Linked DNA regions of Ovis aries. The protein of the gene in region 1 interacts with the protein of each later gene in a biochemical or structural test. Links are inferred from orthologs where the notes say so. Each region holds a gene or a part of one and is shown on either strand. Other genes may lie near its edges.

Region 1 (4,309 bases):
CCTTTTAGATTTATTTCCACTCAGTTAATTTCATTAAGGCAGCCTTCATTTTTTAATAATTTTTTTAAAGAGTATTGATAATGGCTTAACAATCTGTTTAGTACACCCAAGATTTGTACTGGGAGCTTTCAGAAATATTAAAATCAAATAGTTTTACCAGCTTTCATTTGTTAAAGGATAGATGTCTTGAGTTTAACATGTTTTTTGTTTAAAAATAAACAAATACGATGGTAACGATTATACAATAAATGCTAATTTGTTTAAAGTGGAGATGTTTATTCTATAATTCAGGGCAGTGTGTATTATTTATCATCTCCATATTACCAAACTTCGTTTTAAGCCAGCTGTCTAGTGTTTAACCTACTGAGCAAAGGGAGTTACTCTAGTTTCCAATATTGAATATAAATTTTTAAAAGATTCCTGAGATTTCGGATTAAGTTAGATGTATTTTTCTGAGTGACATCTCTAAATGGGTACATTCATTTTGGATAAAAAGTAAACAAGGCCTTTGGTGTTTGAGAAGAAGAAAAACACGAGGAGGGGAAAAGGAAATATTTTTCAATTCATAAAACATCAGGGAAATGTGTGGAGGACCCATAGAGAAACGAACCCAAACTGCAATATTACAAATACATGTATCCTTTTGAGAAATACCACCGGGCAGTAGAAACCTTTTCTAAGTGCCTTTGCTTTTTAGGAACGTCCATCAGCAAGGTCTCTTCCACAATCCTGGCAGAGGCCTGTTCATCCATTTCCACTGTTGAAGTTGGGACAGTGTCTGAGAAACCGCAGGCACCTGCGGCTCTGAGCGAACTGGCGAGGAACACAGGGAAGGGCGTCCCTTCTCTCATTTTCCGTCTCCAGCTTCCAGAATTTTCTGACAGGAGCTCGAAAATCTTTTTTCTCGTGTCTCAGAAAAAAGCTACTTCGGGGACGGGTCTGCAATGACGCTCCGCAAAGGTGTGCGTCTCAGAAGAGGGGATGACAGCTCGCTGGCGGAGACGAGCCACCTCCTCTCTTCAAGCCTCTGTAGAGGACGACTATCCGAGGAACCAGTTCGGACGCCAAACGCTGCGACGGTCCCACAACCCCGCGTCACACCGCAGAGCGCCCGTAGCCCGCGCCTCAGCCGGAAGTGGGCGTGGCCTCGGGCCGGCTAGGCGAAGCCAGGCGCGGCGTGGGGAGGTGGGGTTCCTCCCGGGCCCGGCCCGCAGCCGCGCGTTTCCGGCGCGCTCCCCCGCGTCTCGCGTCCTGTGGTCTCGCCCGTACCCCGCTGCCATGTTGGATTGTGAGGCCGTTGCCGCCGCCGCCGCCGCCGCCGCCACTGCCGCCGAAGGAAGGTTGGGGGAGGAGTTGGGAGTTTAGCGCAGTCGCCGGAGTGCGAGGACAACGACCATCCGGCCAGAGCCTACCCCGGCGGGAACGGGGAGCTTCCCTTTCTCACAGCGGCCCGCCGTCGGCTCCTCCTTCCGTGGCCTCCTCCCTGCGCCGGAGGAGCTGCGAGATGCTACGCCTCTGATTCCCCTCCTCCCGCCCCTGTCACCCAGAAGGGGAACGAGCGCTCGCCCACTCGCCCGAGGAGACGGCCCTGGCCTCCCTACCCCGCCGGCGAAACCATGAGCTCCGGCCAGCAGCAGCCGCCGCCGCCGCGGAGGGTCACCAACGTGGGGTCCCTGCTGCTCACCCCTCAGGAGAACGAGTCCCTCTTCACCTTCCTCGGCAAGAAATGTGTGGTCAGTGTGTGAGACCCGCATCGCCGCCCCCGACCTTAGCCTCCCGGGCCCGGGAGGGAGCGCCGGGAGGTGGGAGTGGGGAAGGAGGCGGGAGCGGCGCGGGGAGAATCGGACTGCTGGCCAGGCCTTTCTCTGACCCGGCTCCCTGGGTGCGGGCAGTGCGGGCCGGAGGCCGCCTCTCGGACCTGCCCAGGGAGCAGGGAAGTGTCAGGTCCGCAGGCCTGTTCTGGAGCCCTGCTCGCTCGGACCCGGGTCCGTGCCTCTGCTGCTGGTTCAGACTTTACTGTCAGGCCTCGCGGGGATATTTTTATAGGAGCTGCCTGATCGTAGTAACTGGGCTCCTGGACTGGCTCTCGCTTCTCCTCCTACGACCCCGATGTGGGGGTACTTTCCTTCACAATGCCATTGGTTTCAGGAGTGGGTGTGGGTCGGGGACCGAAACTCAGATATGAATGAATCGGGCCGTAAGGTCGTCTTTTATTCTCCCTTGAGGATCTCAGGAAGGAATGAAGTCGAGTCCATCGGTTTAGAACGGGGGGCAGGTAATGCTGCTGCTCCCCACTGCAGAGAAACGAGGTTTATTTCTCCAGCAGTCTCTCTCAGGCCTGGTTTCTCTCCTCTCCACTGTTTTTGTTGTTGTTTGTTTGCATTGGTCGGAGATGCTGCTCTCCCAGAACCAAGCTCAGGGGAACCGCGATCTCCAGCAGTTCTTGCCTTTTGGGATCTGAGAATGGGTCTTACTTAGGTCGGTGCTGTGCGGCCTGTTCCAACTCCAGATGGCTGGTTGGAGCCAGCAGCTCTGCTGTGGGAAGGGGAATGTGTTGTTGACGGAAGCATTCATTACATTGGCTGCTGGCGCTTCTGGGGGTGGGGAGGTTGTGCTCTGTGGGGTAGGCCTTGTCAGCCTGCATCTTACTGGGGTGGCCGAGTTGAGCTGTGGTTGAGATTGTTGAAACGCTGTTCAGTTCCCTTTCTCCCCTCTTTACTGGTTAACACCTGCAGAGTCTGTGCCACTGGCACCCCGGAACCACCGAGGGAAATGTCAACAGAGCTGTACCTTTTACAGCTTTCCTTCTAATGTTAAATGTGTCACCCAGACTGCACCTGCTTGTTTAAGAAGTTAGGATTAGACAAGTTCTGGGAAGTTACTAGATTAATTGTTAACTTTCTAGGAGTTTACCCATTGTATCCTGTTCCACCTGGTAGGAGATTGAATCATTACGTTACGTGCAGATGTGTTTCGTATTTCAAAAGTTAGACCTGATCAGAATAAAAAAAGGTGCGTTAGAATCAGGATTTGGGAAAACAGCTTTGAAGACAGTCAAGCCCCCTCTTCACTCTCCCCACACAGTTTTTAAACAAACAAGATAACTGAGCCGGTGAGCCCTCTGTCTCACAGCAATTTAGTAATGTAACCGGAACTAGAAAAGCAGGACTCCTCATGCCTGTTGTGTTGTACTTTCCACTACATCATGTTGTTTTAGAAGTTTTTTTCTTACTTGTTATTTATTTAAAAGTAGTGTTAAAGAAATAATCACTTTTTTTTTTCATCAGAAGCTGATACAATTAAGGTGTAAGATTCTTAAAGCAGCCCTAATTTGTGCATATTTTCAATTTAGGAAAATCTCCAGCCATTTGAATGTGACATTATCTGCAAATGAAAAGTTTTTTAAAAAAATTTTCTGGTACACTACTTATGTTATATAATCTGTCTCAGAAAAGGAAGTAATTGTACTATGTGTTACATACCAGACACATTAGGCAGGGAGGGACATTACATTTATACACAAGCATACTGACTAATTGCTCTGCATTTCCTATAATGTTTACTGGTGTCAAAGAAATGACAGACATGTAAGAATACAGCGATAGATAAAGAATGGATTTCTGTCATTTAGAACCACACTGTTGGAGTTACCTGCTCTTGCTGTATGAAATGGTTGCAAAGATTAATATTTGAAGTCTCCAATTATTAGACAGTAAAGAATGAGATCTTAATTTCTGGAACAGTTCCCCCCCCCCCCCTTTGCTGACCATGCAGTATTTTGTACATTATTGAAATATTTTATCTCATTAAAAAAAAAATCATGCAATGAGATTTACAGGTCAGACCAAATTTGTTAAGCAAGAAGTGCATTCAGAGCTTTAAGAATTATCAAGAAAATGAAGCTGGAGTAGTTACAGTCGTAGCTCTCAAGGAGTTTCATTCCTTCTTTCACTCAGCAAAGTAGTATTGAGTAGCAAAGAGTCGGACACAACTGGGCAACTTCACTTCCTTTCTATAGTTCCTTTTGGAGAAGGAAATGGCAACCCACTCCAGTGTTCTTGCCTAGAGAGCCCTATGGACAGAGGGGCCTGGTGGCTACAATCTATGGGGTTGCAAAGAGTCAGACACGACTAAGCAACTATCACACACACACAGCTAATTGTCGAGGTCAAAATCAGAGTTGATGTGTTCCCTCAGCTTACTGAATCTAGAGAAAGAAACTAATGTGTAAACTGCCAAGTATATCAGTACTTCACAGTTACTGGTAAGACACTGCATGTTACAATGGAAAATATCCTGGGTTTGTAAT
Region 2 (4,388 bases), on another chromosome or scaffold:
TAATCCTGGACATGAAAGCAAGAAGCTCAAAATCTTAGACTTTGTATTTCCTAAACTCTCCTGCCGCTTCTAACCCCAAGCCAGGATAAAGGAGACAGGTCACAAGAGCTGTCTTCCATCCTGACACCCAGGCTAAAACCACACAGCACCTTGTTAGTAGAATCTTTTTTATTCAGAAAAAAAACCCAAAAAACAAAAAAGTTTTCCAACCACACACAGGAGGGGTACGGGTTGGGGGCAGGGGATGTCTGTCCATCCAGCCCAGGCCCCCAGCCCATGTGGTTTTGGCAGCAATAAGGGGTGTGGGGTAATGGCCCAAAAAATAAAAATGGTGTATGTATGTGTGTGGGAAGGAGAGGGGTGCAAAAGCAGTGGGGAGTGGTGAGGGGAGGGCCAGACGAGGTCAGTACTGGGAACGCCGCAGGTGAGAAGCCATTTCATAACATTTCTTGTTGATCATACCGCCGTGGACACCTTCTTTGCCCATCAGCAGGACTAGCGCTGGAGGAAAGAGAAAGGAGGCTAGGACCCAGGTGTCACCACCCCACCCCCTGCCAGCTGTTCAGCAGCTGTCCAACCCTGGGGGCTGTAACCCAACCTCATCTCTCCCAACCCCCCACACACAGGCAGGCTGTCAGTCACCCTGAAACAATAGGTCTTTTCAAAAGGGGAAAATCAAGCTTAAAGGCTGGAAAGGAGCACAGTAAAATTTAGGGGTCAAAGGCTCCTGGACTGTTGACTCATGTGTTCAGGCTAGAAATGGCTGTGGATGAGCCGGCCACCTCCAAGTTTTCACAAAAGAGCTCAAAAGACAAGAGCAGAATGCTGACTTACAATGAACCTTTTACCTCCTCCAAGAAAACAGGGAGTTTCTCCTCTGAAAATGCTCAAGGTAAGAAGCAACTTAAGAGGTAATACAGTTCAACTTCTCTACACCGTATGGTGAGGCGTATGGTGAGGCACTGAGACAGAACTAGAGGAACAATTCGATGCCCCAGCATCCAGCAGGCTGGGAGTAGAAACCTGGTTTGATCCTTTCATACTAAGTGACCACACAGAAGAACCCAAAAGATTAACAAAAGGAGGTACGTTAGGGATTTTGGAGCTAGAGAATGGGTAAGAACTCACTCTTGGCAGTCATGGTGACAGTGATATTGAAAGTTGGGGCTCCACCGGTGCTCTTGGTACGAAGATCCATGGTAAATTCTCCATCCTGCAGCAGTGAGTCCCGGATCACAGAACATTTCTGGCCCCCAAGCGTTAGCCCATTCACGAAAAAACTTGACCGGTCTTTGCCAACCAGGATACCGACCTCAGCAGGCTGAAAAGGGAACCAAGCACCCAGCAAGTTAGTCAATACACCAAAGTTCTCACCTGTCTTCCATTTCTCAAGGAAGCTAAGCCCCCTGGGGTGAAAGGTGTATGTTATGTGCTTTGTACACATTCGTGAAATTTGAGAAACTCAGGATTGTTGGAAGTGCACAAAAATATGATCTTGAAACCTAGAGAATGGTACTAGGAAGGGACAACATGGTCCTCTGACTCAGATGTCGATTTAGATGTCGTTTAATAGGGAAAGCAAACCCAGTAAATAAATGGGGCCAAAAACCAGTTAAGAGAATGGAGTGGAGAGCCTTGGATGCTCAGAACTCTCCTTCAGGAAAAGCAGAAGCGAAGAGGGGAAGGGAGGGGGCGGGCAAAGCAGGAGAAGCAACTTTGCCCTTATTTGGTCAAAGGTTCTGCAGGAGTTGTTAGGGGCCCGGACGCCTGGGTCTCTAAGTAACTTAGAGTTTAGGTTCAGGTATCTATGCTCTAAGATGAGCAAGCAGATGCCTTGGGGCATTCAGCGAAAGTCGAAGAACTTTTGGAGGGGGCCTGGGGCTAGACCCGACAGCCAGCTCTCGGGTCTAGATACCCCGGGGAACGTATCTTCCCCTCCCCCTTACACCCCAAATCCCCACATCCGGTCCCCTCCCGCCCGGAAATCCCCTTCCCCCCCTTTCGAACTTCCGCTCCCCCTCCCCACTTCCGGGCAGTGTGGACAGGGGAGTTGGTGATGGGGACAGCAGCAGTCATCCCTTCTTCCTTCACTTATACTGTCCTAGAACTTCTCACAAAGTTCCCCTGCTCCAGGCCCTGCCTGATGGCGGGAAGGGAAGGCGAGGGGACTCCCGGGACTGGTCTCTCAAGAATGCTGAGTCCGACCGGCCGACTGGCGGGGAGGGGGTCGTCGTGTGGCGCCCTAGCCCTCTCTAATGGAGTTGGGAGGGGCAGGGAACCCACGGAGATCGGGCTAGGGACCCAGGCCATGCGACTGGGGCTCCCTCCCGGTTCAGAGGAACAATAGTGGAAGGGGCGCGAGCTGGCGGCCGGAAGTGGAGCTAGGGGTCCCGGGGTCCCCAAGTCCCTGCTCAATCAAAATCCTGGGTAGAAACTACGGCGCGTGCCCGACCCGCCCTGGAGGAGGCGGAAGTGGGCCGCCGCACCGGGCGGCGCACCCTCCCCGCCCCGTGCCCCGGATGTAACGCCCCGTCGCGGAAAGCGGGGCGGCGGGCGGGTTGGGCGCCGCCGCCCGGGGCGGAGGATTCAGGGGGCCATGGAGGGGCCCGCTCACGTGCAGCCGCCATTCGCGCCACTTCCAGGGCAAGGACCGGGTCACGGCCTTTCGCCGCCCTCCGCAGACCGCGCCCGCCCCCACCCGAGTCCCTCCCTCAGGGTCCAAGCCGGGCCAGTCCCCAGGACTGTGCAGGCCTCTCAGTACCGTGATGTTGACGAAGGTCTTGCCGGGGACGGCGGCCCAGACGGAGGGCGAGTCCTTATAGCCCACGATGGCTGCGTCCTGACAGGTCCCGTCCGCCATGAGGTTGTCGATGTAGGCGTTCCACCCGGCCATGGCGCTGCTATTGGGGCTGCTCTCGGGGCTGCTGCTGGGGCCGCGGGCTGGGCTCGGGCTGGCGGGCGGGGGAAGACGGAGAGCTTGGGGCACGCGCTGCCGTCCGGACCGCGGCTCTGCTAGCTGTGCAGCAGCCCTCGCACCGCCACTTCCTGCTCCTCCCCACCCCCCTAGATTTTTATTTGCAAAGGGCGGTGGGGGCGGGGCTTGCTCCCCACTCCCTCTCTCCCTCCCCTCTCCTGCCCAGATACCGAACTTTGCAAATGCATTTTAAAAAATCCCTCCCCCTATTGCAAAATTTGCAGAGTTCGATGGAAAGCGAGGCAAAAAGAATCGGGGTGGGTGGGGATGGGTTAAGGTTAGGGCCCGCTCCACTCCGCCTAAACTATCAGACTTTAGTGGAAGGAAAGGTAGTGAGCCACAGGGAAGAAGGAAAGTGAAAGAAGTAAGAATTAGCAAACTGCAAATTTAGCAAATTAAAGAGGATTCGGGTAACTCAGGGTTAAACAGAACGACTCCCCCTTCCCCCACCTCTGCCGGGGGCAGGAACGGCGGGCGGCGGCGGGGCGCGTGCGCCCGCGCCTGCGCCGGGGCCGAGAGGGAAAGCGCGTGGGGCGGTTAGGGCAGACGGCGGGCTTCGCGGGCGCGCGCCCGGGCGCGCCAAGCGGGACTGATTTGGACCCTCGGTGAGGGCAGGCAGGCCGGGGACGTGTCTCCCGCCGGGCGGAAGGGGCGGAGGCGAGGCGTGGCGTGTGCCTGGCCGCTTCTGCCCTCTTGATTTTATTTATTCAAGAAATAAGGTAGTAAAAGGAAATTAGACCAAATACCCCCGGCCGTCTTCAGAATTGAAGGCACCCACCAGGGACACTTCTGTCCCCAGCATCTGCCCGGGCGGCACAAGCGGTACTCACTGGAGCCCACCTCGACTCCAGGGGGTTGTGACTCACTGGATCGGCTCCAGCCTCATTCCTCACTCCACGTCCCAGCCCTGCCCGAACCCCGGTCAGCAGTTTGGGTCACCGGCTGTGCCCCTTGGCCCGTGTCTGCAGAGGTCATTGAGCACCGTGGGGCCAGACGGGCGGGCCTATTTTCCAAGGCGGAAGAATACTAAGCGGTTTCTCAAGATTGCAACTTTTTCAAGAGGAGGAAAGTCCCTTCAACTTTGCCCTTTTGGGTTTTTCTTGTTCTTTTTCAGTAAAACTTAAGCTAAGAACTTGTGTGCGATGAGTTCGCTGGCTATCCACCGGGAAGCGGGTGGGGCAGGACCTGGAGTCCGGCTTAGGTGACTCTAGCTCGCGCTGGCCGCCGGGGCCGCTGAGGGGCTAGGCCGCTTCCGGTCCCTCGGGGGAGGGGCGGCTCCCGGGCGCGAAGGGGCTTCGTTTCCCTCCTGTCCTCCGTAGCGGGCGCGGCCACTCGGAACCCACGGAGCACCCGACGCCCCCCGAACCAGTGTTCCTCGACAGCCGCCGCGGCTGAGTCACTGGCCAACTCGGGC

The links.
Region 2: the proteins of WASL (region 1) and PFN1 form a complex in vitro, tested with the Homo sapiens proteins (2 studies listed by BioGRID). The link is inferred for Ovis aries from reciprocal best matches to the Homo sapiens genes WASL and PFN1.

What each region holds. Positions count from the first base shown.
Region 1 is NC_056057.1:89,672,930-89,677,238, reverse strand, and holds the start of WASL (actin nucleation-promoting factor WASL), read left to right. Parts: upstream 1-1,248; 5' UTR 1,249-1,616; coding exon 1,617-1,733; exon of another isoform or gene 1,734-4,309. UniProt on the Homo sapiens protein: Regulates actin polymerization by stimulating the actin-nucleating activity of the Arp2/3 complex. Involved in various processes, such as mitosis and cytokinesis, via its role in the regulation of actin polymerization.
Region 2 is NC_056064.1:26,323,800-26,328,187, reverse strand, and holds PFN1 (profilin-1), read right to left. Parts: upstream 3,048-4,388; 5' UTR 2,894-3,047; coding exon 2,762-2,893; intron 1,322-2,761; coding exon 1,129-1,321; intron 502-1,128; coding exon 404-501; 3' UTR 151-403; downstream 1-150. UniProt on the Homo sapiens protein: Binds to actin and affects the structure of the cytoskeleton. At high concentrations, profilin prevents the polymerization of actin, whereas it enhances it at low concentrations. By binding to PIP2, it inhibits the formation of IP3 and DG.